Linked DNA regions of Ovis aries. The protein of the gene in region 6 purifies or fractionates together with the protein of the main gene of each other region. This does not show direct contact. Links are inferred from orthologs where the notes say so. Each region holds a gene or a part of one and is shown on either strand. Other genes may lie near its edges.

Region 1 (3,500 bases), on a different chromosome or scaffold from region 6:
TTGTACTTATAGTATACCACAGATTTCCCAAAACTAATTTCTAAATACATTTTTGTTTTACCTGTGACTTTACTGAATTCTTCCAGAATGTTTTCTTTAGTCTTATTCTTCGGAATTGATCCAACAAAAAGCCTGTTGTTTGCCACAGAAATGCACACTCCAAGGTGTTTACCAGGGCGAATTTCATAGCTGTCACACTGAAAGGAAGAAAAGAACCAGACACCCCACAACCACCCCAAACTCAGAACAACTGATTTCAGTCTAAAAAACTGGACAATTCAAGGTCAAACACTCCCTGCTTCATGAATTCATCAAGTCCCCTCATGCTTGCCATAATATAAAATGTGTATTTTAAACTTTTACAGCCTCTGTTTTAGTTTGGTTTCATTAACCTTCACTGCTCTATCAAATTAAATGAATCAAAGTTATTCACTCTATCTTTGAAAAGATCTGATTTATTTCAATATTATCAATCTCAAGATTTCTTCCCAGAGAATTTTAGGAAAACTACCTGAAACTGGTAATTCAGAGCCCTTGGAGATGAAATGAGATAGAGACAAGTCTCAGGAAAACAACAAAATGTAAAGAATAACAACTATGTTTAATCAACGCAAAGAAACGGAGAAGAATTTCACCTTTTACATAAAACAGAATTTAAAAAATTTAAACTTCATATTAAACATAATACTTTCAAAATTGTATTAAATCATAGGAATAAAGTGTTTTATTTAAATGGTTATGGTGATGATTTCCTAGGTAAACTTGCGCTTTTTATGCCTTAACATTACTTACCTATTAGTTTATAAAACAAATATGTAATTAAAAAAAAAAATCATCCATATGTTGCCAGAAGCAAGGAAATAAAACTTTAAAAACTTCTCAGTACTAAATAAACAAACTGGAAGGAAAAAGGTCCATAATAAAAACAAAAATCTGGGTCAAGTTAGAAGTAGAACAAATTTAGAAGCAACTAATGAAATGAAAAGCTTTGGTGAAAGGTTACCATTCTAAAAGAACTAAAACTAGACTGAGGCCTTCAGCTGTCTGCCAAGAGTATCCCCAAAAACCAACAACACTGCTATTTTGAGTTACTGAGATGATTGTATCTTAACACAGTAGGAGTGAAGCCATACTTAATTTGTGTACTACTCTGAAATAAGTACAAAGGATAAAAGGCCCTACAGAAAGGAGATTCCTAGAAGACTGGTTATCAAGTAATAGTAAAAGAGAAAGATTAAAAACAAAGAGAACTGGAGAGTTTGGAAACAAAAAGAAAAGAACGAGAATATACTTAGAAAATAAATAAATTGTATGATTAGGTTATGATAAAAACAAGAGAGATTCACAACCATTTCCCAAATTGTGTCCTAAAAGTCAAGGAGCCCAGTTATATTCCCCAGAACCCATAAGAATCTTACTCTAAAGTTTAACAGCAAGAATTGACATTTCTGTCTAAGATCAAAAGGGAGAACTGCAAAAGCCAAATATTCAAATGAAACTTTAGATAGTAACTGCTGTAATAACTTCTTAGAATTATGGGAGACTATCACCTTACTTCTGTGGTATTTTCATTTATTTTTTACTTTCATAATATGAAAAAATAGCCACCAGACACATACTAACTCAGTCAATATAAAAACTCTCAAAACAAAAACTAAAGTAAATGAAACAATGTTAACTGCAAATGTTTTTAATTCAAGTGTTTCTCTCAAATGACTTGCTAGACAATGGGTATTTGTTTTGTTTATCACATACCAGTTTAACAGCTTCCTGTGCAGCTTCCTTTCCACAGAAGGTGATAAATGCATACCCTCTGTTCTGACCAGACAGTGGATCCATCATAAGACGCAGATCCCAAATGGGACCAGCCTTTTCAAAAAGGGGCACCAATTCATCCTCGTATAAATCTCTTGGTATTTTACCTACAAAGACCTGAAATAAAACCTGTATGTTAGAATCCCAATGTAACAAGCATTTGATTTTAGAGCCACAAAACCTAGGTGCCTTTTTTAGGGGGTGGGGACACAAAGATGGTTAAGGAAAAATTGGGGCAAGTTGAATCTTATGAAGTTAATCCTAGTTTTTCATTATAATGACTTTCAGGGCATCAACACAGAACAATAATATTCTATACTGAAAAATGGAAACTGATTAATAGTAAGTGCTCACAATTTGTAGTAATAACTCTTAAATTTTAAACTTTTTAAATTTGTCCTTTTCTCACAAAAAAATAGAATAAAAGGCCTATATAAATCTTCACTGAAATACATCTGCATTTTTTAGAAAAACCATACTTGAATATGGAGAAGGGAATGGCAACCCACTCCAGTATTCTTGCCTGGGGAACTCCATGGACAGAGAAGTCTGGTGGGCTACAGCCTATGGGGTCACAAAGAGTGAGACATGACTAAGCGAGTAACACTTCCACTTTCACTATAGGATAAACATGCCAATTCAATAAAGTTACAATAAAAGTTAAATTAAAAAAAACTGAATAAAAGATCGATGAGGTCTCTTTCAAATTTCTCAACTCTAAAATCTTTACTACTTAAAACTCCCCTGCTTTAATCTTTCTTCATCAGAATTCCTTTCTCTATCAGAATATTACATTTTAAGATATGAAAAAAATTCATCATAATTTGAAGATTTTGTATTCTTAGTTAAAATTACATAGTAAGTAGGATTAAGTCATAATATACAGGAATGCTAAATTAGAATGAAACAATCATAAAGCTTCTCAGTATTTAATATCAGATGACAATTCAAATTTCTACCAAGTCAGCAATACGGAAAATAACCTTTTATGTTAAAACACTCGCAATCCACACACACAGTCTTAAAGAGTAAATTACTGCTTGCATGAGATGAATTTTCTAGTGAAACTCATCTACATCAACATTTCATATCCTGATAATTGATCCGACTGATGAAGTAATGAAGTAAAAACTCAACAATCAGAAAACTAAGATTGTGGCATCCGGTCCCATCACCTCATGGCAAATAGATGGGGAACAACGGAAACTTTTTTTTTCCAGACAGACTATTTTTGGGGGCTCCAAAATCACTGCAGATGGTGACTGCAGCCATGAAATTAAAAGATCCTTGCTCCTTGGAAGAAAAGCTATGACCAACCTAGACAGCATTTATTAAAAAGCAGAGACATTGCTTTTTAATGGTCCATCTAGTCAAAGCTATGGTTTTTCCGGTAGGCATGTTTGGATGTGAGAGTTGGGACTATGAGAAAGCTGACGGCCTTGAACTGTGGTGTTGGAGAAGACTCTTGAGAGTCCCTTGGACTGCAAGGAGATCCAACCAGTCCATCCTAAAGGAGATCAGTCCTGAATATTCATTGGAAGGACTGATACTGAAGCTGAAATTCCAATACTTTGGCCACCTGATGCGAAGAACTGACTCACTGGAAAAGGCCCTGATGCTAGAAAACATTGAAAGCAGGAGAAGGGGACAACAGAGGATGAGATGGTTGGATGGCATCACCGACT
Region 2 (4,077 bases), on a different chromosome or scaffold from region 6:
GCACAAGCCGGAATCAAGACTGCCGGGAGAAATATCAATAACCTCAGATATGCAGATGACACCACCCTTATGGCAGAAAGCAGAGAGGAACTAAAGAGCCTCTTGATGAAAGTGAAAGAGAAGAGTGAAAAAGCTGGCTTAAAACTCAACATTCAAAAAACTAAGATCATGGCATCCAGTCCCATCACTTCATGGCAAACAGATGGGCAAACAGTGGAAACAGTGACAGACTTTACTTTTTTGGGCTCTAAAATCACTGCAGATGCTGACTGCAGCCATGAAATCAAAAGACACTTGCTCCCTGGAAGAAAAGCTATGATCAACCTAGACAACATATTAAAAAGCAGAGACATTACTTTGTCAACTAAGGTCTATCTAGTCAAAGCTACAGCTTTTCCAGCAGTCATATATGGATGTGAGAGTTGGACTATAAAGAAAGCTGAGCACCGAAGTACTGATGCTTTTGAACTGTGGTGTTGGAGAAGACTCTTGAGAGTCCCTTGGACTGCAAGGAGATCCAACCAATCCATCCTAAAGGAAATACATCCCGAATATTCATTGGAAGGACTGATGCTGAAGCTGAAACTCCAATACTTTTGCCACCTGATGGGAAGAACTGACTCACTGGAAAAGACCCTGATGCTGGGAAAGACTGAAGGTGGGAGAAGAAGGGGATGATAGAGGATGAGATGGTTGGATGGCATCACACACTCGATGGACATGAGATTTTGAGCAAGCTCTGGGAATTGGTGATGGACAGAGAAGCTTGGCATGCTGCAGTCCGTGGAGTCACAAAGAGTTGTACACAACTGAGTAACTGAACTGAATGATTATCATTCAGTTCAAGACCCTCATGATAAACCTGGGGCCTAGACAGCCCATCCTGAGACCACAAGCTACTCAGAGCCAAAAGAATCAAGCTCAAACTCCATGCTTGGCATTTAAGGCCCTCTGCAATCTGGACCCAACTTCTTCCAGGCTAATCCTCCATTAACTTCCCCATGAAGTGCCTATCATCCTGCGTGCGTGCTAAGTCATTTCAGTCATATCCACTCTTTGCAACCCTACGGATTGTGGCCCAACAGGCTCCCCTGTCCATGGGATTCTCCAGGCAAGAACACTGGAGTGGATTGCCAGGCCCTCCTCCAGGGGACCTTCCCAACTCAGAAATCGAACCCTCCTCTCATTATGTCTCCTGCACTGGCAGGCAAGTTCTTTATCTCTAGGGCCACCTGGGAAGCTCTCCTATCATCCTAGGTGTTTCCAGTTCCTAACATATGAAGTACTATCATCCAGCTTATTCTTTACTTCTGGTCTTCTAAAACCCCTCCCTGTGACTTTGCCCATTAAGTTTTTAACCCATCTACCCATGTCAAACGCCACATCTTCTGTGCTGCCTATCTTGGTTCCCTTTAGGAAGTAATCCCATTCCCTCAAGACTTCCATTGCTCTTAGTCTGTACTTACTTCTTTTACAGCACTTACCAGAGACTGCCTCATATAATAATCATGTGTGTACATGTCTTAACTCCTCCACTAGGTTATTAGCTCCTTGATGAATTGGGTTGACCCATAATCATTTCTGTATCCTTCACAGCCCCTGGCAGAACATCCTGCACACAGTAGGTGATCAGTAAGTGTTTACTGGCTCACCAGTGATATATGTTTCTATGTTGCTACTGGACATTTCCCTACTGAATATATCCACAACAGGTTTGCATTACCAAAACCAGACAAAAAGCAGACCTTTTCACTGATTCATGCAACATTTAATGAGCCTAGACAGGTGGGGCATGGGCACAGGCCCTGATCAAACATGAGTAAGGCACATAGTAAGCAGGGCTCCTGAAGCCCAGAATCCATATGCAGATACAGATTTTTTTTTTTAATTACATAATGTGATAAACACAAGAAAAGAGGTATGCAGAGTCCAGGGGAAACACAAAGGAGTGTACTGAATCTAGAGGTGGACAAGAGTCAGGATCACCACTACTCCTGTATCGTGTGTTCACTGTTGTTGAACATTCACTATTAGATCCTCATGGATATTTCTAGAAACAGAATATCTGAAAACATTGATTATGAAACTGACCTATTAAAGGCACAGTCAGGCTGTGTGGTGGATGTGAACTTCAATTCAAAAGTCAAGGAACTCACTGCAACTGGAAAAGTAATTATTTTCGGCGTCTGCCTCCTCTTAAGTTGCTGTTTGGAAGCAGGGAAAGTGAGGGAGTCGTTTTGCATAGTTAACGTGCAGGAACATCACTCTTTGCAGAAAGAGTTGAAATGTGGGACTACATTTCTGTTAACGCGCTCTTCCACCACCTGAATTCCCAGCCCGGTTACTTATGTCTGGATGATTCGTAATTGCGTGCTTCCCTGTTTACATCTCCCGCCAGATAGTGAGCCCCACGGTGTAAACTTACAGTCTCACTCCCTGCCCGAGATCCCGGCGGCCCCAGGCCTGGACCACCACATGCGCGCCACAATGAATGAAAGGTCTCATTTTTCACTACTATTTATTTACAGGGTACGGGCCTAGGGTCCCTTTCCTTTGCCCTTCGCTGCAGATCTGAAGAGGAGCTGCCGGATCCTAACTCCCAGACGCCTCTCACCCCAGCCCCAGACGCCAGCCCCGTTGAAATTCGGATACTTGGAAACACTCCCTCTTCCAACACCCACAAGCTGACCCTTTTACCTAGAAAAGCTCTCGGGCTGCGAGGTCGCCGTTAGAGTAAAGCCAGAGTTATAGTGTAGCCTCCAAGACCGTAGTACCGCCCGCGGCTCCGGAACAGGAAAGCACAGGAATTAAAAAGCAAACCTGAGAAAGCCGGACTGCAAGAGGGAAAGCGCTCGGGAATCGCCGCAGCGCCTTGTGCACGGTGATTGGTGCTTCAATAAGAACGATGGACATCTAAGCCAATCGGTCTCCTCGAGTCTCTGGCGCCCGCCTCCTGCCCCTTACCTCCTCCAATCCGAAACCACAACCGGGTGAGCGCGCGTTTACTCCCGGGAGAGGAGGCGGGCCGCAGCTCAGGCTCTTGAGGGAACCTTGGCTCCGGATTTTTGGGACTCTGACGCGCGCGAAAACATGAGTGAATCGGGGGGACAGCGCGCCCGGCTCCGGCGCTATCCTGAGCTCCCGGTGTGGGTGGTGGAGGATCATCAGGAGGTGAGTGGGCAGCTGACGGGTGCTGGGCAGGGTCGCGCGAGGACTGAGGCGGCGGCGGAGCCTGGAGGCCAGAGAGAGAACCAGAATCCGAGCGAGTTGCGGTGCTGTGGGGAAAACAGCAGGACAGCGAGCTTTAACGTCAGCGCTTACTACGAGTCCGGCAACTCACTGAACCCTCGCGGTTTGCCCAAAATCCCACGGCCAACAATTAGTGGCTTCGGGATTCGAACGTGGACAGTCGTAACTGCAGTAACTCGAGTCCTTAACCTGCTCATAACAAAGGCTTCCTGCTGTCTCCCGGCCTCCCCTTCACAATTCTGTGGTGTCGGTGGGAGGCTTCTGTTGAGAATATGCACTGTCATCTGTGAAATGGGTACAGAGTAGCTCTCAGAGCCGTTAGTATTATTGTGTGAGTAGTGTGTGTATGAATCTTTTAACACGGCGCTATAAAGATATTTTTCTGTTTTTGTAGTAGTGCTACTTTATAATAGCTAAAATGGTGCCCACATCTAGATTTCTGGAAGCCTGCGAGAGTCCCGTGATCGAAGACTTTCTGTTTTTGATAGCTTTAATAATCCTTAGGAATTCTGTGGATGTTAAAGAGGAAGAGGCCGATTCCAGATGTGCGGATGAATAAAGATAATAGGAAGGAAATTTGGTTTCTCAGGACCTAGAGATAATGTGCATGGGGTAGGTGGTGCTTTCAGATTCAATCTTAACTTAGAACTCCAGAGACTGTAACGGAACAAAGAGCCTTAGAGAGGACCTAGCCCAGCAACCAGCATCCAAAAGGTGTGAGAAAGACGCAGAGACCCAGGGTAGCTTGAACACACCTTTTACACCAGAGTGTGATTTAACAAGCAGTTGTTTTTGCTTTTCTTTCCTTGAGTACTGGAGCTTGTCTGT
Region 3 (3,500 bases), on a different chromosome or scaffold from region 6:
ATGGTTACAGTTACATAGTCCGACACAAAAAACCCGTGGGTGATCAGGAGGTGGAAGGTTACAAAATAATGAGGGCAGTAACACTGGGTACAGGAAGAAAGCTGCTCCAAGGCCTCGGGAGCCAGGCTAGTACGGCCTCTCCCTGCGATCCTGTCTGTGCTCACCCCTGCAAGAAAGAGCATCCATGAGGTCTGGGTTCCAACCTCTCTACCCATCCACCCCCAAAACCCAACCTGCCCTGCTACCCACCCCGAGAGACAGCTCGTCTCCCTGGGCACGGAGTGCACATGGGCATCCAGACTAGCTCCCCCAGGTAAGTCTCCTTCCCTTGTCTCCTACCCAAGTCTCAGCTTCCCAACCCCGCCCTCAAAATGAAACCACGCTCCCCAAACCCTGCAATCCCATGACCTCTGGTCAACTGCTCTAGTTCCCTTTCAATTTAGTCTTACTTACCTGGAGTCCATCTTGCCAGGGCCGAAACCACCTCTGTCCCCACCACCCCGGCCCCCTCGGAAGCCCCCACGGTCCCCTCCTCGGCCTCGGTAGCCACCCCGATCATAGCCTCCTCTGCCACCACGACGATCATCTCCGTAGTTACCCCCTAGGAAATAAAGAAACATGATTCAACCCTCTATCACATCCCCCAGACCCCTCCTCCCTCCCCCTGTCTAGCCTCCTTGCAGATCCCAACACCAGCTCTGCCTCTTCCTTACCCATATGAGAGCCTCCTGGTCCCCCTCCTGGGCCATCTGGTTTAGGGGCCTTACACTGGTTACATTCATTCCTCCAAGAGAAGTTCATGTTTTCACAGGTACTAAGGAAAAATAAGACAATTAATGTGTGTAGGAGGGGGGTGGAAATGGCCAAGACCTAGAATTATGAAAATTCCAGTGACCCCAGGGATACGTGAGGAAAATGAGGCCTCGGAAAAGCAAAGAGGCCCGTTTCTCAGGAGCAGAGACAAAGACTGCAGGTTACTGAGCCCAGTCTAGATGATTCCCAACCACGCCTATCCCTGACATTAGCAGAACTACAAGCTCTGTCCTAAGGTCAAGGTGGTGCTAGTGGGTAAAGAACCTGCCTGCCAACACAGGAGACATAAGAGGCTTGGGTTTGATCCCCAGGTTGGGAAAACCCCCTGGGGAAGGGAATGGCAATCCACAGTCCTTGGGGTTGCAGAGTCAGACAGGACTGAAGCAACAACTTGGCACATAACTTAACATCAAAGGGCACATGTACAAGAGGGCTGAGAAAAAAATTAAGCAGTTTCACTCACGGATTAGGACACTTCCAGTCCCCTGCTCGCTGCTGTCCTCCGCCACCGCCACCGCCACTGGGGAATCCTCCTCGGCCACCGCCGCCGCTGCCACCACCTCCATAGCCTCCACGGCCCATAGGTCCTAGAACAGAGCGAAGAACAGGTCTGCTCACCTTCCAAGTGTGGTTAACCTGTCTTTCCCACACAAGCCCTTACCATCCTCCTTCCCTCTTCTCTCCCCATCACTTCTTTACAGCAACACAAAGAGCTCCTTACCTCCTCGCCCTCGGCCTCCACGACCATTGCCACCACCCCGATTGAAGTCTGCTCGCCGAGTAGCAAATGAGACCTTGATAGGATTCCCAGAGAATTCTTTACCTATAAGAAATAAAGGAGGTATAAAAGAGACTTCTAATTAAGACCTATGACCTGTGGGTCCCAAAGTATACCTGGTACAATCAAGAGAAGACTCTGCCTTCTTACAAATGTTTACAATCTCACGAAACATAACCAAATATAAGACTACACCAACAGGGTAGTGCTGTTAAGTCTTGGAAGACTCAAAGAAACCCTCAAAATGCAGCCTGTTTCCCCAAGCTAGCTGCCCTCTCCCCCAGCCTCCTCAGACATACCATCAAACCAGTCAATAGCTGCTTTGGCGGAAGGTGGATCATCAAATGATACGGTGGCCTCTCCCTTCAGCTTGCCTGTTTCCCTGTCTGTGTACAGATTAATCATGGGCTGTCCTGTTTTCTTATTTGTCTGAAGAAAGCAACATGAGATCACATCAGTCTATCAGAGAATACAGCACTATCAAAACCATACCTTCCTATTTCATACATAACTTGAAAGAAAGCCATCGACTGTTAACTGCTTCTCCCTTCAATATTAAATGACAAAGATTATAGACTACAATTCAAAAGTTTTAATCATCTTTTTAATCAATTGTACCTTTTTGTGTTAAAATGATTCCCTTTGGAATGGCAACAGTTAATGCTTTTTCCTCAACAAATGAAGCAGGCAACCATTAAGATTTCTATTTTCACTAAGGTATGAAATCCCAAAGCCTGCAGCACTAATAGAATGTATCCACTCTGCCCCAGAAGTACCTTTCGGGGCTGGGGGGGACATAGCCACTCTTTATTGGGGCCGGGGGGATCTTAGTTCCCCAATGAGGAATCAAACCCGTGCCCTTGCAGTAGATGCGAGGAGTCCTAGCCACTGGCCTGCCAGAGAAGTTCCCATAAGTACCTTAATGATACCAATCTGCTTGAAGTAATCAGCTACAGACTCAATTGTAACATTCTCGCCCAGCCCTTGCACGAAGATGGTGTTGTTGTCTGAATTATCCTGTTCTGCTTGCCCAACACAGCAGGAAACATGGAGACAGAAAACAACCAGAGATAAAATAAGTCAGTGACACTTAGTAACCTGAACTTTGATACTTGATAGTTAGCTTTCCAAGAAAGAAAATTTCTAAACCAATTAATATAAAGCACTGGTGCTGTAGGTCCGACAAATCTCCAACTCTACTTCATTATGAGTGCCTGTATGCTAGCCGCTTCACCAATTAAAATTTAGGTTTACAACTACCCCTTAAAATATGTTGAAATTCGTAAAAGAATCCAGGGCTCAGGATTTAACTGCCCAAGACCACACCAGTGTTTGTCAACTTTCAGTTGAAGACCCCCAAAGAAACTAATTTTACACTAAAACGCAGCATTCCCACCAGGGAAGCCCTATACAAACATCATCAAAACAACACATACACTAAGTGCGTCCCTGTGTCTTTCTTGTTAAATACACTATTCAACACAGCTACTCCTAACTAAACGCTCTTCCCCGCTCTTCTCTAGCCCCGCTCTTCTTCAGATTCCCTTAAGTTTGAACAACATCCAAGGAAAGTCCTGCTACCACTTTTGCCTTTCTTTCCTGCCACCTGCGGACTTACCAGAGTCATGACGTGATCCTTGGTCCCGAGGGCCTTAAATGACATAGAAGAAAAAACAAAAACAAAAAAACAAAAAAACAAGGAAAGAGGAGCCGTTAGTTAAGAGGCTGAGAAAGACAAGCAAAATAATTAACACCAAATCCAAACTTTTGCAAAATATCAGGTAAGTGCTCACAGCCAGCCTCACTCCAAACCCTGTTCTGGGTCGCCTGCCCAGAGAAAACCCTAGGCAGGTCTGGGAAAGACACAGGCCCCTTTTCTTAAGGTCTGCATGTAACTTGAGTCCCCACA
Region 4 (3,500 bases), on a different chromosome or scaffold from region 6:
TTGAGGACAGCCATTAGCATTTTGTAAAGATGGTAAACTGAGTGTTAACTTCTCCCAGCCAGTACCTTTTCCCCTCATTAAATGTTTAAAGTCATCAGGGGGGAGGGGAAGGGAAGAGTTCAACTTCATAATTTTAAGTCAATTGTCAATATACATTTAAGTTTTTAAAACCTAAATGTTCTAAGTGCACAGTAAAGAATAAGCTGTCCAGAAAGCACACACTTAAATTTTCTCCTCTTGGGAGTTTCATAAAGGGATTTTGAACCTTGATGGCGAGAATCCCAAAACAAGAGTAAAATGAATTCTTTTTATTGCAAACAAACGTCTAAATTAATTTCTCCACCCACTTTCTTTAGAAAGAAAAAGAAATCAGCAGGCTAAGGAGATACCCATTCAAGAACTGACATGATTAAAAATTAAGATATAAATGGGTGACTCACAATTTCATTAGCTTACAAAGATGGTGGAGTTAACTACTACAAGCACACTAGTTATACAGTATTTTGTGGGAGAAGGGCATACAGACATAGCTAACTTCATATAGATCCCATTAGACAACTGGATTTACAACAAGTTTTTTTAATAAGAAATGGGCAAAGCCAGCTTTCTTTTCAGAATCAAAATGCAGAACAAATGGAAAAATTATGGTACTTAAACCTTCACAAGTTTGAGCCTCCACAAATAATGCAACCAAGTTTTACATTTTTTAACAGCCCTTCTACATACACTCCATCTTCTCTATCTTCGTTCCAAATTTTATCTTCATTCCCAAATATGCCAATTCCATCGTTACTTAAAAAGAAAGAGCCTTCCCAGTTACCGTCAAAAACTACTATTTAGCTTACCCCTCCACTACTCAGCAAACTACAGAGAGGATGGAGTGTAATATGAGCAGTACAGAGTCTTATGCAATTCATGAGGACCACTAAGTCCTTACATGAATCTGGTTGCTAACATTTCTATTATATTGTGACAATGACTCCCGACTGTTATCTCTGTGAGAAATGGGGGGGAGTAAATTCTTAATAAAAGACACCAGGTACAAAGCAACATTTTACTTTTGTTGTGATAAAAAAAAAGTCACATTTTACAGATAAAATGTAGAACCCTGAAATACTGACACATTCTCTTATCGTGCACAATGCTGAGGTTCTCTTACGATTCACTTTAAAACTGCAATTAAAAATGTACAAAAAAGAAAAGAAAAAAAATCAACCCACAAAGCTTCTAAAAAAGGAACCCGCAGGCACTTCCTCTTGTGGAATGTTTAAAAAGTTAGCCTACTAAAGAAAACAGTCGACTTCTTGTGAAGGTTTTGGAGAAATATGTATCAGTTCGTTTTATTTGGGTATTCAATAATATCCTTGGTGATAATGCTGACTCCATGGCTTCTGACCCCAGAATTGCTGTAAGAGAAAATTTTTTTTTTAAAGAAAAAACATCAATAAGCCACTCAAATTGCTTTTAGGAAATGACAATCTAATTCAGAGTAATTGCTGGAAACAAATTTATACCTGTCATTCCTCTGATTTATCAAGCCAGATTTAGTTAGTATTAACATCCCATTATCAATACACATTACAAAAGGAAACACATTACGACTTCGGTTAGTTTATACAATTAAAGCTATCAGTAAAAAAAAAAAACGTATGAATTAAATATTACTTTATTAAAAAATATTAAGTTACAGCAAACTCCAACCTATCTCGCCTTCAAAAGATAGTATACAGCTACAACTGCAATACAGCTCACAGCTTGCCCTGTAATACTTATTTATAAACACTTCGATCCCTAGACAAGATCTTTTTTTAAGATTGATTCTTATGAATTCAAAATACAATTAAATGTACATAAAAGCACATAAGGAATTACTTACACCCTGCTGCCACTGGTTGTAGCCCTGAGATTGATTTTTGTAGCCACGATTGTTTCCTCGTCCTCTGAAGTTCTACAAAAAAGAAAAAAAATCTTTAAAGAACTCAGAACACAAGTTGCTAGGTTTATCTAAGGGGCAGAGGGAAAAGAGGGGACACAGCTGCAGAAATGGATGGATGGGCGGTCAACCATGAACCTCTGAGCACTCTGCTGGGTTTCCTTTCAGGTGATTAACTTATTCACTAAGAGACATCACACCTGACTTGCTCCTACTAGCAGTTAACGCACCTAAAAATAATTATGCATATACACTGTATTCTTAACTGAGGCTGCCCATCATATTTAACCTTTTACACTAAATTATATAGAGAATCAGCGTCTGCAGAGATCTTAAATGGTTACCTGGTTGTAGTTCCCTCTGTTAGGCATTCCCCCTCTGTTGTAGTTCCCTCTGTTTGAGTAGCCGCCGCGGCTGGGAAAGACAGGGCCGCGAGGGTACGGATAGCCAATGCCACCGCTGCCACCACCGCCACCTCCTCTCTGTGGCATACTGCCCCTCCTGTTGTATCCACCACGATTCCCAGGAGCTAGAAAACAAGAAACATCTCATTTAGTAGTGTGTTGCTGCCTTCTTTACATGAGACTTAGGGTTCTTTTGGACCATTCCTTCATTTCAGGAGAAAAATGTTTAACCATTCAACATAACCTAGACATGCTTACTAAGACAGCTCAGATAATGCACATCAAAAGCTTCCTATGTTAAATTCAGCTAAGTAACATATAGACCCAAACTGGAAGTGTACCATTTGTTTCAACCTTGGACCAAATAATACTCAACATAACTTGCCTCCTCCTCTGAAATTTCCACCGCGCATATTGAATCCGCCACGTCCTCTATGGCCACCGCCTCTGTTAAACTGGTTCTTGCCGCTCTTATTTTTATTGCTCTTCTTTGAGCCTGTGTTCTGTTTCTTTTCCGGTGGAAGAGCCTTTTTGCTTTCTTCTTTATATTGCTCCAAAAGTTTCTGGGCTTCTTCCTTCTGAAGTTCAACATAGGTTATTTCATCAAAGCACTCAGCTACTTCTGGCAGAGTAAAGTTTCCTGCAAAACATAAAATCATATTAACCTACAAACCCACTACATACACATTCACAACCCTAAAGCCCAATACTCTCAATCAGCTGTTAATTCTTACAAAACACACAACACCTAGTCATATTGTAATTACATTTTCTTACAAACACAAGTTAAATATATGTTCATTTACAGTTAATTTAACTCTTGAAAGTTATTACTGACATTAAGCTAACAGATACAAATCACAGGATATTTAAGGTAATAGAACTTCATGCCTTTCATTTTGAGGACTGCATGTTCTGGTAGGTCTTTTCCCTCTACTTCTGCTTTCTTCTGTGTTCTTTGCTTATAGTCTTCATCTTTTGGGCAAACTACAACAGCTTTTCGTTGGAAGCCTGCAAAGAGGCACATTTTTCTCCTCTGGGCAGCAGCAGACACATTTGTCTTTCAGAAAAAGAGAAAAAAAAAAAAGTTTTTAACCTCAAACATTAATTCTACAATTATCAGTTTTTTCAACTTCAAAGTTACAGCTTACCTGATCCAAAAT
Region 5 (3,500 bases), on a different chromosome or scaffold from region 6:
CACACAGCATTTCTGTATAGTAAGTTAACACTTTAAAACCAAATGCAGTTAAGTGATTTTTGATGGGGAGATTGAAAAATATTTTTGAATGACAAATTTTAATGACTGTATATTAGATACTATTATTTTAACACATTTTTGTGTGTGACTTATAGCTATGTTCTTAAAAGATACATGAAGCATACTAATGTAAAATGTCATAACACCTGCAACTGAATCACAAATGATTCAACAAAAGTATGTGTGTAATATATATATGTATCAAAGCAAGTGTCACAAAATGCTGACAATCATTGAAACCTAAGTTAACAGAGTTCACTGTACTACTGTTCTGCCTTTTCTACAGGTATCAAAAATTTTGAGAGTAAAAGGCAGTGGGCAAAGAAAATTTTTAAAGGTGAAAAAAAATGAGGCAATTAGAACACTTTAAAGATTAAACTCTGACGCTTTTCATTCGAAGCAGCAGCAATTTAAGCCCTCATCATTTTTCCTGTAGAGATGGCAAAGCAGTTGGGCCTGTCGCTTTTTTTCCTGTCATGGGACCTATCCTGGACTCCATATGTACTTCCAAGGTCTCTATCTTTAGCATGCACTGGTGTAACATATCATTAACACTCTTTCTCTGAATGTGTTAACCAGAACTAAACTTCATTTAGAATGTGTATATAATTTTAACTTAAATAACAAGGCCTCCATAAACTAAATGTAGAGTAAGATTACTGTCTCTTCTGCTTAGTTCAAAGAAAGTTACTGTGGTACCCACCGTGTAGTGCCAATCATAAGGTTGATACCAGCAGCTGAGGGCCGAGAGATCTGGCGGATTGTGTTCAGCATACGTTCATTAACAGGATCCAACTGGCTGATGATACCAGGCTGTTTGGTTACTTCAACAACCAGAGCCTCCATGGCTGCTCGAAGAGCAGTGATACAGGCAGCAGCTTCATGAGATATTTGCAATCTTATCCTAAATTAGGGAAAAATGATTAAAAATGAGAGGAGGTACACACAGAAAAAGACTATTATCTCCCAATTTCACCCATGGCAAGTGATGGGATAAATTTAACTTCTTTTCCAAATGTAATGGCCCTAGATTTAGCAAACACAGGTATGAAGAGTAACAATAAGTTAAACCAACTTCTTAAACTTCACTGCTAGCTACTGGCAGGAGTTGTGAACCATGAAGTCTACCAAGTGAAGTACGCTTAGCCATACAGATCACTTCAGCCTCCAATAAAAGAATGAAATGAGAGACTACTAACCATTAAGTTCTGTCCAATTCTGCCAAGTGCTTACTACACAGACACCACTTGTCTCTAAGCAATATGGAGTGTACATAAAAAAAGAGGCATCCAAATTCCAATTAGATTTTAACTCCTCAGTATGGTATTCACGGTGGTGGATGGGGCTCCAATGAGTAATGCAGCAGCCCCCAACCTTTTTGGCACCAGGAATCGATTTTTGTGGAAGAAACTTCTTCCAGACTGGGGTGGTGGTGGGGATGGTTTGGGATGATTCAAGTGCATTACATTTACTGTGCACTGAATTTCTATTACTACCACATCAGCTCCGCCTCAGGTCATCAGGCCTTAGACCCCAGAGGGTGGGCACCCCTGATTTACTGCATCTGCCTCTACAAGTATAATCAATTTGAGACTTCACTATCAGCTACAAATCGTAAGCCTAGGATATACTCCTCTAAGAAAAGACAGTGTTACACAACACATTGTTTATGCCATCGAATTCTGCCATATTTCACAAATAGATTAGCAGCTGAATTCCAGTACATTTCAATTCTAAGAATTCAGGTGAGTTCACATCTGAAAATCCATACCAGTCGTCTACAACCACAAGCTGTCCATCAGACATAACTTTCTTGGAGGCAAAAAGCAGCAGCTGCAAGGGGGTGACTAAGGTCATGCCTTTAGCAGAGATGGCCCGAGTTCGAATCTGAAGATAAAGAGGCAAGAGGAAAAAGTTGACATTCCAACTGTCAATCAACTACCATATAATAATAATGAACTAAAACCCATGTCCCCACTACACATTAATAAAGTAATCTGGATTTTAAATGTAGAAGTTTTCTAAACCTCCCTTTTCTTACCTTTTCACCAAATACAAAGAAGGGAGATGGGTACTTCATGTCTTGGCTGCTAAAAGGACAATTAACAGATGACTTGTGGATAAGTGCATTACGCCCTTCAGTGGTGAGAATCTTTCTCTTTTCCTTATGGTAACACACATTGGGGTACACACCAAAGGCCAGGAGAGAGATAACAACATCCAGATTATTGTCTGGTCCAGTGTTAGTAAACACTTGTGTCAGTAAACACTCTGTAAAGAGGAAGGAGAGTAAAAAAAAAAAATCAAGTATCTGGCTAATTCTAACATTGAATTTACCAAAATTAAATGACAATTATAAGAATTAACTCCTCCCTCATTCTCTTTTTCAAATAACCCATCTCACTGCCTCTGTTCTTAGCATTCTCGCACTCAGATTAATGCAAGGAGAAATTTTGCTGAGTCTTCACAATTTTAGTAAAATTAAAACATCTGTTTTCTTTTGTAGACACAACTAAGCTTGAAGTACTTAAAAACAAATGCCCCAATTAACCATCTCCTCTCAGATTAGAGCTAGACCGGTATGACCAGTATTTCACCTGCTGCTCTTAAAAAGCTGTTCCTTCTACAGAAGATGACCAAGAGGAACACACTAGAAAAACGCTGCTGTTTTCACCCAAAAAATGCTTTGTGCCCAGGCCATCACATGGAAAATATGATGGTAAGAGTGTGGATAAACTTTGTTCCAAAAAGCCTGTATACCAGTCTTATAAACTTCTGAACTGAATGAATGTGGACAAGTAATTTAAACCTCTGGCCAGCTGCCTAACCTGTAAAATGGAGGTCATATCTGCATCTCAGGAATTTTGTAAAGAGTCTATCATACAAAAATGTCCTATTTTCCTTTGATTTTTGAAAGTACAAATTTAGTCAGTTTACAACAGAAGAAAAATGTTTAGTTATTTAGATATGGCCCAGAAGGTAGTCCTTCTCTCTCTCAACTAGCTATTTCTGGTTATGTGTTCCAACTCTCAATATTTCAGAAAATTAACTCTGTCTCAATCTAGCTGGAGAAGTACAATTGTTCAAATTCACACAAGAAATGAACAGTTGGATTACTATTCCTATATCAGATATCAAAGTCCTCTATGATTAGCTATCCATTAAAACTTACTCAAAGCCAATTAAAATTTAATGCAATAGAGTTTACTTCACACCTAAGAATGAACAGATCAGCAAATTAACACATCACTTCAGAAACCACTACCTGAAGTAAATTCAACAAACTGCTCATTCTAGAAGTGCAAAAAGCTAGGCCTGTTTTTTTACAAAGTAAATGGATCAGAAATAAAAACACACCCTTCCACCTAAAAAAAGACAGTGATGTGTAACTGACTCATTTTGCTGTACAGCAGAGCCTAACACAACACTGTAAATCAACT
Region 6 (3,984 bases):
TCATCAAGGACAAGGTAGGTGGTTCTTCTTAGATTGGTTTTCCCACATTCTAAAAAGTCTATCAGTCTTCCAGGTGTTGCAATACAGATTTCCACACCTTTAATTAAACACACAAAAGTTACCATGACATCCAGAACTTCCTGCATGATCAGTGACAAATAAAACCTTTTTGGTTACATACCTCTCTCCAAATCACGTATTTGTGGTCCCTTGGGAGCACCACCATAAATGCAAGTAGACTTCAAGCGACATGCTCTACAGTATTCAGCAGCTACTTGCTGCACCTGTTGGGCCAGTTCCCGAGTAGGTGCCAGCACCAAGCACTAAGGAAAGAGAAAGTGGAACACCTTTAGGAGACCCCTGAATTCTAGTTTTGAAGTGCTAATTTACTGTTGCTACACTAGCAGATGATATACATTGTCAATACCCAAAGCAGCTTTGTCCCTTCCTACACTGAAAAACATAACCTTCCATATAAAACCACCAGAATTTTCTTTTGCTGTATATTCTACAAATCTCTACGCTGTTAACCAAGTTAAGAGAATACAATGTACACTTACAATAGGCCCATCACCTCTCTCTAGGAATGGTTGATGATTGATGTGGACAATGGCAGGCAGCAAATACTATACAAAAGAAAAGCAAACAAAAAAAGCCATATTAAAAACACTTCTGGTTTCTTTTAATTCCCAACCCATTTTTCTTCAGGACCTGTCACCTAACTCAAAGTTTCCCAAACTTACAGACAAAGTCTTCCCAGATCCAGTTTGTGCTACCCCAACCATATCCAATCCACTCAGAGCAACCGGCCATCCCTGAGCTTGAATAGCTGTGGGTTCAGTGAAGTTCTGCCTTGCAATCACATCCATGACATTTGCTGTAATGTTAAGAATTAAGTAAACGTCAATAATGCCATGAGAAAGGGATTTTTTTTTTTAAGGTGGGGAAAACTAGCACTTACCAGGGAAGTTTGCCTCATAAAAATTCAGGACTGGCTTTGGGCAGTTATGACCTCTAACTGTAATTTCCTTGCTTCTTCTGTATGTCTCCACCTCTTGCTACAAAAGAAATTTATAAAATTCAGTTATCTCACGAGGACTCCCCCTAACTAAACACACGACCAACACACCCCTAAGTTAATAATTATCAACATTAACATTCCTTTAAGTTTGCAAGACATTTCTAGTCAAACTTAAATGTCACTGAGTTACAAGCTGAAAAAACCACATGAAATTACTCACTGCTGTACGCCTAGCCAAATCGGGGTGTTCTTGATAAAAATTCTTCTCAAACTTGGGCAGCTCATCAAGATTCCACTTCTTTTTAACCAGTTTCTCTCCAGGGTTTCCAAACTTCTTTCCAGATAAGGGCCCTGCCCTACTACCTCCAAATCGAGGAGCACCAAACCTAAAATTTGAGGGGAAAAAAAATTGCATTTTCAAACATGTACAGACTTATTTTACCATCCCTGCGCACATGCTAAAACTCAATGAAAGATTCTGGAGATGCAAGTGCTGTCCTCAGTGATGGTCATTCTTTCAAAAGCCAGTTAGTACTACATCTCCCTCATTTCCCGTTACACGAAGTACACACCATTGAAAACAAATCAACAGCCCGGGATTTACTAGGTTGGAAACTGGCTGGCCAAGCTCTAGGAGTTCAGATACAAGGACAAACAACAGCTGGTGGATACTACTCTTTCACACAAGCGAAAGAATTAAATGCCAAAAAAAAATAAAGCAGAAGCTTAACACAGATGTTACTTAGCACCTGTCCTGAACCAAGAGCTCTGATTTTAATAGGTAGCGGAACAACACAGGTAAGTGAGTGCAGAACACGGCGGGTGGCTCGGGGACAGTTAGGCAAGCCAATCGAGTTGGGGGGATCCCTCAAAACGGTTTCCTACCAAGGTAGCAAAATTATATAACGAAAGGAAAACGAGGAGGAGGAGCCGGAGACTACCGGGGGAGGAGTCCCGGCCCGGGCGGAGTCCTTCGGGCGGCGTTCCCGCTGGGGCGGCGCTTCCCCCTTTGTCTCGCATTTCTCTCTGCGCCACATTTTCTCGACGCTGCCATTTTGAGCTCCTCCGCCGGGCGGGGTAACAAAGGCGCCGCCGCCATGTCCGCCGCCGGCATTTTGTACCCACGGCTCGGCCACATGGCCGATTCCCGCGGCACCGGCCACCCTCCAACCCTCGCCGCATTAACGGCTTCGGAGGCGGCCCCCTCGGCACCCACAGAACCCCCAGATTCCTTAAAATTCCTGTAAGCTTACACCTAATAGTGGCGACTTCGCCTCAAAGCGCTGCGCTTTCCTCCCCTCAAAAAATGTGCTCGAAATTCTCCGAACAGTTGCCAAATCATCAAGGCCCCGATACCCCCTCCAAAACAAAAAAGAATCTTGAGGACCGTTAACATGAAAAGTCCAGGTTTGGACAAATAACAAAATGGCGCAAGCCCTTTTCGATGGCGGAGGCCCGAGAATAGTCTTTAGAAGCCGAGTTGCCCCCGCCACCCCACCCCCGCAACCCTCATCGGTCTCCCATCCCCCACCCGCCGGGCCTGACAGGTCGGTTCCCACACTCACCCTCGATCCCGGCCACGGTCTCGGTCACTCGAATAACCCGACATGGCGTCAATGGTTGCGGTTGGCGGGAAGCGAAGCGGAGAGAATCGGGTGCGACGAGTCGCTGGAGGTGGCTCCGGCGACGGCAAAGCCTTGCGGGGGCGGCAGCGGCGGAGGGACGACGATGACAGAAGCCAAGGCTGCCCAACAAGAGACCGGTGGAAATGAATGAGGTGCCGGCCGCGTCCCGGCAGCCGGTTTTATAGCCTGGCCCGCCTCCTCCGCCGCAGAGAATGCTGGGAGCCGCTCTATGACCTAATCACTCCGCCCCTGCGCAGAGCTATTAACGCCTGCCGGCGTTCCGGGATCCGCCATTTTCTCGCCCCTCCCCCCGGGCCCTTTGCCGACTTTTCGCCCCTTTCAAGGATAGGACCCGCCCCCACCCCGCGGTCCTCCACTGGGATGCCTAAGCCTGCACTCTCTTGACTTCACCTTTTTCTGGTCTTTCACACTTCAGGGAAACCACTGCGCCCTTTTCCAGGTCTAGCCCAGACAATAAAATGTCCAGCCCAGGTCAACTCCCTCGGTCCCCTTGAAGATGTTTACGTCTCCAAAGAGCCTTTACACCCATTACTAGGGGCGACAGGAAGGCGGAGCCTGACATTGTCACGTGGCTGCCCCGCCCGCCGAGTGAGCGGGACGCACTACTTCCCCAGTTGGCGTCGGCGGAGGAGTACAAGACGAAATAGCTCACCGGAAGTGCCGTGCTAATGCCCTCGGGAAATCGGCCGGGGCTGTTGGGCGACCCGAACTGTCAAACCCACCCACCCCAGGACCCCTGAGCGGGGTCTGGCTGGTGAAAAATGGTATCTAGAGTTCGCAAACCGCCACCTCGGCACGTGCCGCCAAAGGAAGTACTCCCGCGGTGACCAATCAGCAGCGAGAAGCCGTTTTAACGTCCCTCCCTCCTTCACCGCACCCCTTCCCGGCACTTTCGTTTGCTTCCTCTCCTGTCAGCCCTGGGTCTGCGCCGTGCGGCCCTTTCAGGACGCCGTCCCGCGCGCGCCCGGCTAGGAGTCCGGCGGCGACTTGCCTCCGCGACATGGCCGGCTCAGAGGCTGGTGAGTCTCTGCGTGGAGCCCCGTTTGTGTGTGGGCTCAAGTACCTTTTCAGTCCAAGTCCTGAACGCCCCTCCCCATCTTATCTTGAGGCTTCGGGTGGGTGTGGGCTGCCGGCGGGGCTCGTGAGACAACCCGGTCGTAGTTGGCGGGTTCTCTGGCTGGGGCTTCTTAGTCCCGCTCCCTGGCGCATTCGAAGTTGTCGAGCCTGATTTGGGGCGGGGAGACAAGGGCCCTGCGGCGAGGCCCGCAGCACGCGAGCATGGTGGCTGTAAATGATCAGAAAGTGTCTTTCCCTAGA
Region 7 (3,635 bases), on a different chromosome or scaffold from region 6:
AGAAGGAAATTCACATTTTAACACACTATACTCATGACTTTGTACACTGCACAAAACATCCAACATTAAGAATTCAATAAACTGACCAACATCTACAATATCACTTCCTATTGTCTATTTAACACAAACATTTGTTTCAGAGACTAGAGTACATAGAATGTCTAAGTAAAAAAAAAAAAGATCTGCTAAAAATTTGGTAACAAAATAAATAATCAGTCTTATAGAATGAACTTTATGATGAAAACTATCATTATTCTGTCTTTGGGGATCCAATTCTGAGTTAAAAACAACATACTCTATCCCACTAGATCAGATCCTAACTAACCTAACAAAGTGCTACAGTATGTCCTTTAAAACCTAAGAGCAGCCCCTGTGGAAAGACACTGAATATGGAGTCACAGTACGCTTACAATTTAAGGAAACAAAAAAAGCCCCACACTTGGGAAGAAAAGAAGCCATACTTAGACTAGAACAAAAATATTAAAGTGCTGTGGCCAAAATTAGTATAAATAGACTTTATTGAAGTCAGTGCCTCTGTACCGAGACAGAAGATTGTGTCTACATAAGCACAAGTTGTAACATTTCACAACTTCTAAAAGGAATGTCAACAATTACAACGATCATGCATACCATGGTCGATAATCACATTTTAGAAGCATTTTCAACCATTTCTAAAGAAATGCTTATAACATTGTTATATATAGAACTACTTTCAATAAACTGCAAAACATTGATCGACTTTTCCAGTATGAGCTACAGTGTCAACACAAAAGGGAGGCATAAATGTTTAATTTATGAAATCAGAATGGAATATTTACTGTAAAGAAAAATTAAAAAGCTTTCAAATAAAGGCCATTATTGAACCAACATGAAGAGCACAACTTGAACTTTTCAGTTCGTTCATCTTTTAAAGCTGTCCTCTGAATAACTTCAGTTCTAAGCATTGAATTTCAGTACTGTGAATATTCCTTGGATTGCAGTTTGGCAATGATGCGGTCCAACTGTCTCTTTGCTTCACACTGTGGGAAATTGCTCATGTCATAATATTGAGGGGCAATTTTCACCAACCTGTCCAGAAGGAGGGGAAAAATCACCAAATTAACAATTAGAGTACTGGAGCTTCTGATAGGATAGGCATTATTCACTGACACACTGACAAATGCAAATAATAAGTCCAAGCCAACGGTAAAATTACAAATGCCTAATCGTTATCAACACCACTTTTAGAAATGTGTGCTTCTTAGTATGCTGCAGATTTTCTGATGGTGGACTTTTCATAAACTTAAAAAACGAAACAAAAAACCACTCAAATTCTTGTAAAAAAAAAATACTCCTTTCTTTTACATAGACATTAACATAAGGTCATAAGTTTCTTCACTCTGGAACACTTTTGATCTATCTCTTTAAAATTACAATATTACAAGTTCCATACAACAAACAGGCTGATATTCAAATGACTGGATCGTCTCATTTTCTAAGTTTTAATAACCATAAATGTAACTCTATACCCCAAAGAATAAACCTGACTGAATCTTTTTAAACATTTAGCCATGTAATTTTCTTCTCAATAAAGCATTTAAGATACAATGGTAATGTCCTATACAATTTAAGTGTCAAAAGTCACGAATCAGTGGAGGAAAGAAGCCTCAAAATATACAGCAAGTGACATCAACTAAAGTAAGTGCTTTCAGTCCCACCATTCTTGGCTGCCATTTCCATCTTAAGTTACAGAATAGATTCTGGCCCCTAAAAAAAGTCACAAAGGGGGACTGCAGTGGGTGGGTAATTTTGCTTAAAGTCAGTCAGTTCTGATCACATTTTGTGAATCAAATATGCAATGATACAAAAAGAGGTGCAGTTTTTAATGCTTGCTTTGCTTTTAAAGCGCCAACATAGAAATAAACAATAACTGAGAGCTGAAACACAAAGATTGACTACTGCAACCTGGAGATCAAGTTAATCACAACAGCAAGAGAATGGCTTCAAAGATACTCTTCATGTTAGTCAAGTTTAACTTGGTGTCTCCAAATTGCCCATGCCCATGCTAACAATTCTACCATCCTCTTTACAAAGCAATTATTCTTAACAGATAATCACACACCATTTTGTGCCCCAAATCTATACACAGGAGTATACACCCTAGCTGGGGAACACCCGAGTTCCCCAGAGTGAACAGAAGAACAAGACAAGACTCTCTTCAGATTCCATTCTCAGCAAAATGGTAACGAAAACTTTTAGAATGAAAGACACTGAGCTTACCATTCAGGCTTGATGTCTGTACACGTCCGGATGTAATTCTTTGTTGTAAGAACAAACTCATTATAAAGCACCCATTCAGGCTTGTGGTCAAGAACAGTAGAGGGATGCAACTGAACCACTTGGTTATCTTTCACAGTTAAGTAATGCCCTGTTCGTTCTAAATGTGCCACCTGAAACCGAAACCCAGTAAATTAATCCAATGCTTCTGACATGCTAGTTACAAAAGTGATATAAAGCCTATATATCTATACCTATATAATCAGGGAAAGGCAAGCCTCACCTAGTACTTTTAATCTGATGGCTAGACTTATTTAGCACTGCCTAATAAAAGCAGCAATCAGCAAACTACAGCAGGCTAAATTCAACTCACTGCCTACATCTTTAAGGCCTCTTAGCCAAGAACAGTTTATACACCTTTAAATGACTGGGGGAAAATATCAAAACAGAAACACTTGGTGATGCTGGAACGGAAATCACATGAAATTCAAAATGGTAAGTAAAGTTTTTTGAAACATAGTATGCCCATTTGTCCAAAGTTGCTTTTGCACAACAAGGGGAGGCAGAGTTGAACGGTTTCAGAAAGGGACCTAAATCTGGTCCCATCACTCAATGGGAAGAGATGCAGAAACAGTGTCAGACTTTATTTTGCGGGGCTCCAAAATCACTGCAGATGGTGATTGCAGCCATGAAATTAAAAGACGCTTACTCCTGGAAGGAAAGTTATAACCAACCTAGACAGCAGATTCAAAAGCAGAGACATTACTTTGCCAACAAAGTCCGTCTAAGTCAAGGCTATGGTTTTCCTGTGGTCATGTATGGATGTGTGAGAGTTGGACTGTGAAGAAAGCTGAGCACCGAAGAATTGATGCTTTTGAACTGTGGTGTTGGAGAAGACTCTTGAGAGTCCCCTGGACTGCATGGAGATCCAACCAGTCCATTCTGAAGGAGATCAGCCCTGGGTGTTCTTTGGAAGGAATGATGCTAAAGCTGAAACTCCAGTACTTTGGCCACCTCATGTGAAGAGTTGACTCATTGGAAGAGACTCTGATGCTGGGAGGGATTGGGGGCAGGAGGAGAAGGGGACGACCGAGGATGAGATGGCTGGATGGCATCACCAACTCGATGATGTGAGTCTGAGTCAACTCCAGGAGATGGTGATGGACAGGGAGGTCTGGCATGCTGCGATTCAGGGGGTCGCCAAGAGTCGGACACGACTGAGCGACTGAACTGAACATATAATAGTAAATAAACTCAATTTCACTCAATAAATATTTACTAAGCACCTACTAGGTGGCAGGCACTACACTTTGAAAGTCCCATTTCTAATGGATTTTGGTTTTAAGAGAGAATTAGAAATCCATAATGCTTGAGTAACA

The links.
Region 1: the proteins of DDX5 (region 6) and HNRNPR fractionate together in Homo sapiens (co-fractionation; 3 studies listed by BioGRID and IntAct, with this or other methods). This does not show direct contact. The link is inferred for Ovis aries from reciprocal best matches to the Homo sapiens genes DDX5 and HNRNPR.
Region 2: the proteins of DDX5 (region 6) and DROSHA purify together in Homo sapiens (co-immunoprecipitation; 4 studies listed by BioGRID and IntAct, with this or other methods). This does not show direct contact. The link is inferred for Ovis aries from reciprocal best matches to the Homo sapiens genes DDX5 and DROSHA.
Region 3: the proteins of DDX5 (region 6) and FUS purify together in Homo sapiens (affinity purification with mass spectrometry; 5 studies listed by BioGRID and IntAct, with this or other methods). This does not show direct contact. The link is inferred for Ovis aries from reciprocal best matches to the Homo sapiens genes DDX5 and FUS.
Region 4: the proteins of DDX5 (region 6) and HNRNPU purify together in Homo sapiens (affinity purification with mass spectrometry; 3 studies listed by BioGRID and IntAct, with this or other methods). This does not show direct contact. The link is inferred for Ovis aries from reciprocal best matches to the Homo sapiens genes DDX5 and HNRNPU.
Region 5: the proteins of DDX5 (region 6) and DHX9 fractionate together in Homo sapiens (co-fractionation; 3 studies listed by BioGRID and IntAct, with this or other methods). This does not show direct contact. The link is inferred for Ovis aries from reciprocal best matches to the Homo sapiens genes DDX5 and DHX9.
Region 7: the proteins of DDX5 (region 6) and DHX15 fractionate together in Homo sapiens (co-fractionation; 3 studies listed by BioGRID). This does not show direct contact. The link is inferred for Ovis aries from reciprocal best matches to the Homo sapiens genes DDX5 and DHX15.

Annotation. Positions count from the first base shown.
Region 1 is NC_056055.1:243,258,384-243,261,883, reverse strand, and holds part of HNRNPR (heterogeneous nuclear ribonucleoprotein R), read right to left. Parts: intron 1,933-3,500; coding exon 1,756-1,932; intron 198-1,755; coding exon 63-197; coding exon of another isoform or gene 62-62; intron 1-61. UniProt on the Homo sapiens protein: Component of ribonucleosomes, which are complexes of at least 20 other different heterogeneous nuclear ribonucleoproteins (hnRNP). hnRNP play an important role in processing of precursor mRNA in the nucleus.
Region 2 is NC_056069.1:42,131,419-42,135,495, reverse strand, and holds the start of DROSHA (ribonuclease 3), read right to left. Parts: upstream 2,801-4,077; 5' UTR 2,698-2,800; intron 1-2,697. Other genes in the region: C16H5orf22 (UPF0489 protein C5orf22 homolog), read left to right, coding at 3,091-3,171. UniProt on the Homo sapiens protein: Ribonuclease III double-stranded (ds) RNA-specific endoribonuclease that is involved in the initial step of microRNA (miRNA) biogenesis.
Region 3 is NC_056077.1:27,789,342-27,792,841, reverse strand, and holds part of FUS (RNA-binding protein FUS), read right to left. Parts: intron 3,243-3,500; coding exon 3,210-3,242; intron 2,614-3,209; coding exon 2,510-2,613; intron 2,021-2,509; coding exon 1,891-2,020; intron 1,637-1,890; coding exon 1,535-1,636; intron 1,401-1,534; coding exon 1,277-1,400; intron 815-1,276; coding exon 714-814; intron 602-713; coding exon 454-601; intron 167-453; coding exon 127-166; 3' UTR 1-126. UniProt on the Homo sapiens protein: DNA/RNA-binding protein that plays a role in various cellular processes such as transcription regulation, RNA splicing, RNA transport, DNA repair and damage response. Binds to ssRNA containing the consensus sequence 5'-AGGUAA-3'.
Region 4 is NC_056065.1:31,694,709-31,698,208, reverse strand, and holds part of HNRNPU (heterogeneous nuclear ribonucleoprotein U), read right to left. Parts: coding exon 3,489-3,500; intron 3,398-3,488; coding exon 3,229-3,397; intron 2,978-3,228; coding exon 2,723-2,977; intron 2,463-2,722; coding exon 2,278-2,462; intron 1,949-2,277; coding exon 1,877-1,948; intron 1,407-1,876; coding exon 1,353-1,406; 3' UTR 1-1,352. UniProt on the Homo sapiens protein: DNA- and RNA-binding protein involved in several cellular processes such as nuclear chromatin organization, telomere-length regulation, transcription, mRNA alternative splicing and stability, Xist-mediated transcriptional silencing and mitotic cell progression.
Region 5 is NC_056065.1:63,382,973-63,386,472, reverse strand, and holds part of DHX9 (ATP-dependent RNA helicase A), read right to left. Parts: intron 2,332-3,500; coding exon 2,102-2,331; intron 1,948-2,101; coding exon 1,832-1,947; intron 965-1,831; coding exon 764-964; intron 1-763. UniProt on the Homo sapiens protein: Multifunctional ATP-dependent nucleic acid helicase that unwinds DNA and RNA in a 3' to 5' direction and that plays important roles in many processes, such as DNA replication, transcriptional activation, post-transcriptional RNA regulation, mRNA translation and RNA-mediated gene silencing.
Region 6 is NC_056064.1:48,409,333-48,413,316, forward strand, and holds the start of DDX5 (probable ATP-dependent RNA helicase DDX5), read right to left. Parts: upstream 2,801-3,984; 5' UTR 2,631-2,800; coding exon 2,587-2,630; intron 1,408-2,586; coding exon 1,242-1,407; intron 1,059-1,241; coding exon 962-1,058; intron 878-961; coding exon 744-877; intron 627-743; coding exon 561-626; intron 324-560; coding exon 182-323; intron 98-181; coding exon 1-97. Other genes in the region: CEP95 (centrosomal protein of 95 kDa), read left to right, coding at 3,668-3,686. UniProt on the Homo sapiens protein: Involved in the alternative regulation of pre-mRNA splicing; its RNA helicase activity is necessary for increasing tau exon 10 inclusion and occurs in a RBM4-dependent manner. Binds to the tau pre-mRNA in the stem-loop region downstream of exon 10.
Region 7 is NC_056059.1:44,702,366-44,706,000, forward strand, and holds the end of DHX15 (ATP-dependent RNA helicase DHX15), read right to left. Parts: intron 2,430-3,635; coding exon 2,260-2,429; intron 1,069-2,259; coding exon 951-1,068; 3' UTR 501-950; downstream 1-500.